2 linked regions of the Tribolium castaneum genome follow. The protein of the gene in region 2 purifies or fractionates together with the protein of the main gene of each other region. This does not show direct contact. Links are inferred from orthologs where the notes say so. Each region holds a gene or a part of one and is shown on either strand. Other genes may lie near its edges.

The links.
Region 1: the proteins of Trmt6 (region 2) and Trmt61 purify together in Homo sapiens (affinity purification with mass spectrometry; 4 studies listed by BioGRID and IntAct, counting the BioPlex papers as one, with this or other methods). This does not show direct contact. The link is inferred for Tribolium castaneum from reciprocal best matches to the Homo sapiens genes TRMT6 and TRMT61A.

The regions. Positions count from the first base shown.
Region 1 is NC_087397.1:4,479,513-4,482,681, forward strand, and holds Trmt61 (tRNA (adenine(58)-N(1))-methyltransferase catalytic subunit TRMT61A), read left to right. Parts: upstream 1-1,328; 5' UTR 1,329-1,429; coding exon 1,430-2,410; 3' UTR 2,411-2,485; downstream 2,486-3,169. UniProt on the Homo sapiens protein: Catalytic subunit of tRNA (adenine-N(1)-)-methyltransferase, which catalyzes the formation of N(1)-methyladenine at position 58 (m1A58) in initiator methionyl-tRNA.
Region 2 is NC_087401.1:9,932,838-9,936,767, forward strand, and holds Trmt6 (tRNA (adenine(58)-N(1))-methyltransferase non-catalytic subunit TRM6), read left to right. Parts: upstream 1-1,637; 5' UTR 1,638-1,789; coding exon 1,790-2,980; 3' UTR 2,981-2,988; coding exon of another isoform or gene 2,989-3,291; 3' UTR 3,292-3,404; downstream 3,405-3,930. Other genes in the region: Vps50 (syndetin), read right to left, coding at 884-997, 1,046-1,235, 1,285-1,406, 1,462-1,620, 2,989-3,291. UniProt on the Homo sapiens protein: Substrate-binding subunit of tRNA (adenine-N(1)-)-methyltransferase, which catalyzes the formation of N(1)-methyladenine at position 58 (m1A58) in initiator methionyl-tRNA.

The sequences.
Region 1 (3,169 bases), on a different chromosome or scaffold from region 2:
TGATAGGATATTTAGGGTCGAAATCTCTACCTTTATTATGTGCTATTGCCAGATAAGGACAAAAGTTCAGAAAGTAGGGTTAGGGTGTATTATGCTCTCTTCTGAAGTGTTAAATTTTAACTTTAATGTTTTTTGTGTGCTTTCCTGCTCTTCTAGAGCGCTATTAATTATTATTGAACATGTTTAAGGACAGACAAATCTACCTTGAGTCAACGACATAAATTTCAGTGAGATTTATTGAAAAATGCACTTCTCGTGTCAACCTTTTCATGAAAAAGGGTGTTTAAACGTTTATAAAGGGTATGTTAACGTGTGTTGTTAACTTTACCACGTAATAAAACATAAAGTATAACTTGGTAATTTTTTACTTTAACTACTTCTGGATTTTCAAGCTGAAACTTACACCAAACGATTCCTCTGAGTGCCCTGATGACCGTACACTATGAATTTTCTTGTGCAAATTGAAAATAACATTAGAAAAATAATTTTTATTTTCACTCACTTTTTACTTGAATCGCCATTTTTGTTGATTTTAAGGGATACAACCAGGCATTCCGAACTGATATAGCCAAATCCACAGAATAACAGGTTTTACGAATCGAACCCTCACTGAAATAGGTTTTACTGATGATGAGGATAGATGGCCCTAGTGTTTTACGGGAAAAAGAAGTCCTATTGGCGGATTTAAAATTCCAGATTATTGAAGAAAAACGTGGTACCGATGCGCAGCTGACAAGTAAAAATTTCACAAACGTCAGCAAAATTTGAGTTTATTTTTTATAATATCACGTTAATTTTTCAAAGTTTTATTAAGATAGTGGATCAAGGTGTCGTGTTTGGGTTAGACTATTGCCCACTATCGGTTAGGAACAACATGATCTCTAAAAATATAACGTAGTAATGAGCTCCAGAAGGTTTACGTAGATAGGTGCGTTTTTCCCAAAAGTGAGTTTTTTGAGATCGAACCGCAAGTGAGTCACACTGCGAGAAGACTCCCATAGACAGAAGTTGCAAACATAAGGTGCCAGACCGGTGCCAGTTTGGCTGATTGCAAGTATGTCGTTATCATCGATTCGGTGACGACTATTAGTTTTGTAAACTTAATGGATTTAATAAATATCTTTAACATTAAATGTGATCGTGTCATGTTGGGTAAAATTCTTCCATCTGTGCTGTCTGTGCATCCACCTTTTCAAATACAATTAGGAAATTTTCAATAATTGTATTTGATAAGGTTTTGACATCATTTTGACGTGAGCAAAAATTAAAAAAATACAAAGTAATCGGAATTATTTTAAATTTGCGCCATTTTTAGTACGTGATGATGCGGCTAGATGGCTTCAGCTAGGAATTTATTGCCAACCATTATGTTCCGCTTCTATAAAAGTGTTATTCTAGGACCTAACCTAATATTCTGAAATAATTCGCGATGAGTTTCGACGATTATAAAGCAGTGATAGACGAGGGCGATACAGTAATTCTTTATTTGACGATAAGCCAGATCTACAGTATTCGTGCCGAAGCTAAAACTTTAAGTAAAAAAGGAGTAGAAGTAGAGAATGTGTTCCAGACGCCTTATGGGGCTCTCAAGTGTGCTGATTTGATAGGGAAGCCCTACGGTTCAAAGATCACTCTGAGTAAAGGTTGGGGCTACGTGATGCAGCCCACCCCCGAATTGTGGACCCAAACCCTGCCCCATCGAACCCAAATAATCTACACGCCTGATATCAGCATGATTATCCTTCAGCTGGAAATTGCTCCTGGTAGTATCGTTGTGGAGAGTGGTACCGGGAGTGGCTCCCTGTCCCATGCCCTAATCCGAGCTGTGAAACCAACCGGACACTTGTACACTTTTGATTTCCATAAAAACAGAGTAGAACTAGTCCGAGAAGAATTCGCCCAGCATGGCTTAAGTGACTATGTCACCGTCAGTCAACGGGACGTTTGCTCCAGTGGATTTGGGGATGAGTTAGAGAATAAAGCGGATTCAGTGTTTCTAGATTTGCCACATCCTTGGCAAGCAATACCACACACTTTGAACGTAATCAAAGAAACAGGGGGGCGCATTTGCTCATTTTCGCCGTGTATTGAACAAGTACAAAAGAGTTGTGAGGTTTTGTCAAAATTAGGGTTTCAAGAAATACAGACAATGGAAGTTTTGCAAACTTCCTACTCTGTGCAGACAAGGAAATTGCCGGTGCTTGATTTGGATTTCCTTAAAAGTGAAAAGGATGGAACGGAGACAAAGGGTAAAGAGAGGGAAGTTGTGAAGTGTGTTACGGCTGTTCCACCTGCAAGTATGCCGGGACATACGGGCTATCTAACGTTCGCCTCGTTGCCCCCCGTCTGGGCAAGGAGTCTCCAAATCAGCCTAAATCAGGCCCAAGAAGACAATTCCCCCGATTTATAAAACATACCTATTTTATTTATTTTAAGGACACGTATTTGTAGTATTTTAATTTTTAATAAAGTTTTTTTACTGTGATTTTGTTTATTAGTGTACACGTCCCTATGTATTTTATTATTTTCTCAATTACGTCGAAATTGCCCAAAAAAATAAACTATTTTGACGTATACCCATGTAAAATGATCCGGGGAATCGATTGGCGTCGAGAAAATCGCCAAATTTCCAATCGTTTTTGAGTTATGATTTTTTTTTAATTTTTCTTGCTTTTGTTTGCAATTTTCTCGAAAACTATTAGTCGTTTTTCACAGCAAGACATAATTCTAACCCCATTTGATGCTTTTTTATTTAGAGTCTTTTAGTTATGGCGATATCTAAGGGTGCAAGTTTTAGTTGAGACACCCTCTATAAACTGACTATTAAAAGGACAATTGCGGTTTTATAGTAATTAGTTTTATGTATTGTGTAATCCCATTTATTCAAATACATAAGAACACAACGAATTTTGGTCGTTTTTATTAAAAAGAACAAAAAAATGTTTGTGGAGAAAATAAATTAGATCATTAGCCTAATCAGATTTATTATTTTCATACTGTAACAATGATACATCCGAAGTAATTAGCAACATCCAGATATGTTTAATATTTAATTACAAAACTGACATCCATATCAATATGGTTTAATTACGACTGAAAATTCGAAAGAAGCTAGTTACATTCATTGCAAACAAATCATTTACTTTTTATTTTACGTATCCTTCTACAA
Region 2 (3,930 bases):
TTATGTACGGAATTTAATTCTCTACAACTCTCTTTGTATCATTTTTCTTGCAACTGTTGCCGTATTCGCAGCGTTTTAAAAAATATCGAACAGAGTGTAAATTGGCAAAGTTTGAATTTTTTTTATATAGTTTACGATAAAATTTTTGCATTTTGTTTATGTCTTACTATTGAGAATTTAATGCTTTATCTGCCAGTATTTTTTTTATTTGCTGTGTTAACCGTTATACAAATACAACCATTTTTTCTGAAAACTTAGAGGGTAATGAAACAACTGCGCCATCTGGCGATATTAACGTAACTATCGAGAACGGGAACGTTTCATTTGTACGTCGTTTCGCATCCTAACCTATAGATATCCGTGGTCCACCGTAAAATGTCAAAACAGGAGAAAAAAAAACGTAATTTTATTGAACGCAAAAACAAGCAAAGTGTTTTTGTCCAACGTAAAAATGTTCATGAGCTTCATGGAATTACATAATGTGTTAATTTGAAAACAATTAAAACAGTACTTTTTGAAAAAAAAAAAGTTTCCGTTTTTTTTTCTTGAAAAACACTTATATTTTTTCACCGCTAGCGAAAACGTGAACTTCTTATTTGTACGTCGTTTCATATCCTAATCTTTAGATACCCGTAGTATCTACTCATAAGTATATTAAATTTTAATGGAAATAAAAAACAAGCCACAACTTTGGTTTTTAATAAATTTTATTGATTTTTGAATTACAAAATTCAATGTAATTAAAAAATTCATTTTTGTGTATAATTATTAATTAAACCTAAAATGTTAACATAAATAGTGCCTGCTCATGTAAAAAACTAAATAAAATAATTGAAACTTTATGTCACTTTGTGCCCTATCAAATATCACAATCAAGCAAAGGCTACCTATCCCCCCTGTCCCCCTCATCAATCACTTGCAGAAGCCTCTGTTTCGTCTTCTTATTACTCTGACACGCACAGGAAACCAACCCGAACAAATGTTTAGCCGAATATTCCTTACAAAAAAAAAATTAAAACGACAAACAACCTACTTTCCAACTCACCCCATGTTCCTTAATCCACTTTTCCAACTCAGATTCGGGCAAATAAAACGCCTTTATATAGTTTTCCACATATTCGCGATGAGGAACGGGCCTTAAACCAGCCATTTTTTCAAACTTGGACAAAAATTGGATAAAATCAAGTTGCATTAGAGCCCGCCCCCCGTTTGAACACTTTTTCGCCTCGCTGAACCTTAATTACACATAATTACACTTAATTGCAATTGCAATCAATTAATTACCCTTGAACCAACGTGTGGGTGATTATATGGGCGATACTTTCCCACAACGACGTGGAAACTTCAACAGAAACGGGGACTTTGTGAGCGACTTCCTCCAACCGCAATGTGAAAATCTGCACCTCCTGACATTATACGCAATTAGTTTAATTAAATCAATTTGTAATTTATTATAATTACTCGGAGGATTCGGTCAATGTAGGTGTTGTGTTGCGACATGACTTCCTTCACCTCCCAGTTAATTTTCGCCATTGAGACCAAAATTTGACGCAAATCGAACGCCTGCGCCCCCACGGACATGTAAACGGGCTTTCGTAGGTCCTTAGCGCTCGAAATGTTCTAAAATTTTTAATTAATTTTAAATTATCTAGGGGATTTTATCGGTCATGGTGCCATTCTGAAAGCACCAATAACCCGTCTTTGTCGTCCTTGTTGATTTTCAATTGCGCTATCTTTTTCTACTAGTAACGTTTGATAACCCCAAAGTACATAACCTCAAAAATCAAGCATGGATCAAAATGTGATAAAAGTGGGTGATTTTGTGATAGTGCAACGTCAGGGGTACACAAAACTACACAAATTGAAGGCTCATGGGACCCTCTCGCTTGGTAGTTTCACCGTCGAATTGGATAACATCGTGGGGGAAAAATATGGGGCAACTTTCCAAATGAAGAATTTTCCAGGCAATCGGAAGCTTTTCACGCTTGAAAAAGTGGACGAAATGCCCGGAATCACGTCGATTAACATCGAGAAAAGTGGCCTCGACAATCGTAATATAACCGATGATGGACAATCACAAAATCTCACAACTGAAGATATTTCGAAGCTCAAAAGTGAGGAACTTAACTCGAATTCAATCGTTGAAAAACTGATCAATAATTCGAAAACGTTCAACTCGAAGACTGAATACAGCCAGGAGAAATACATCAAAAAGAAAGAAAAAAAATATTTCGAATATGTCCAGATAAGGCGGCCCACAATTCGCCTGTTGGCAACAATGTTCTACCGACAAGACCCGAGCAAAACGCTCGGAATCCGAATCGATGACTTATCCCAAATCCTGACTTATTCAAACATACAATCACAAGGAACCCACCTATTGTATGATAGTGGCACTTCGGGGCTCCTCCCAGCCGCTTTGCTCCACCAATTAGGGGGCGGAAGCCCCGCCCACTTGATACACCTACACCCGGGGAACGAATGCCAGAAAAGTGCCCTCGTTGCTATGAACTTCCCTCCCGAACAACTCAATCGTTGCATCAACGTTAACTTATATTCAGTATTACGTTGTTACTACCAACAGAAAGAAACATTTGACGACCCCCCTGCTAATAAAAAAATGAAAATCGAGGAGGGGGCGGAGCCAAAGAAACCCAACTGGCAAATCGAGAACGAGCGGGCGTGTCAACTACTCAACAAAGGCGTGGATTCGCTTATCATCGCTTCAAAAGAACACCCAAACGCCCTCGTCTCGCAATTGGCCCAATTCCTGACCGGTGGGCGTAACCTTATCGTTTTCAACCAATCACGCGAGCCCCTTCAAGACCTATACCTCCACCTTAAGGAGAAACTCGACTTCATTCATATAAAAATCGTGACTAACTTTATGCGTAATTATCAAGTGTTGGCCAATAGGACGCATCCAGAAGTGAACATGACAACCGGTGGTTACATTTTAACGGCTTTTAAATTGAAATAGTGACTCACCTGTGTGAAAAACTGTTGCAACATTATTTTATTCGTGGGCGGGATTAAATACTCGAGGAATTCCTGTAAATATTCATATTGTTTGGCGAGAAAGATGACACTTTCCACGCCCACGATACGTTCAGCCAATCCGTGCAAGTGTTCAGGTTTGGTGAGGTCCACCATTGGTGAGAGGGCGGGTTTTAGGATTTTGGGCGGGGTTTCGTCAGTGGGCGGTTCCTCGAATTCGGTGACTAGATTGTCGGAGATTTTTTTCAACGTTTGGGTGAGTTCGGGCGTGTAGAGAGAGTTGCTAGCGACGGTCTAAAATAATTGATTTTCTACTAAAAAATTGTAAATAGGAAATTTATTTTCTATGAGAACACGTCAAATTTGAAAAATGTTCATAGAATAATAATAAAGTGTTGTTGTATTTGCATGTTTCTTGTTTTAATTTTTATAGTCTGATGTCACAATTACAGGAAACTGTAATTTAACAAAAATAAACTTAGAAACTCGATTTTTACTCTTTTTCAGATGAGTTCTGGGACATATGCGTAAACCTCTTTAGGAACGAAAGAAACAAAGAAAAAATTGGTTATTAGAAAATAATTAAAAAAAATTTAAGTTCTGTTTCTTTTCATTATTTTTGTAAATAAAAATAAATGTTTTTATTACGTTAAAAATGTGTATAAAATTTTATCATACATATTCAGGAGTCAAATGATTTGGTAAGTCCAAGTTAGGACAACAGAAAAATATATTTACAACGGTAATATTTAATTAGAATTAATTTATTCCCTCAGTTTGCACTAATGTGTCAATCACAAAGAAAAAACACGCCTACTCTAATTATAAATTCAAATGTTCACACAGTAGATATAATTATTTTTCGGTAGAATTTTTTAATCTTGCAGAGGTAACAGATTATTAAATTACTTTTTCAGTACATATTCTTAATAT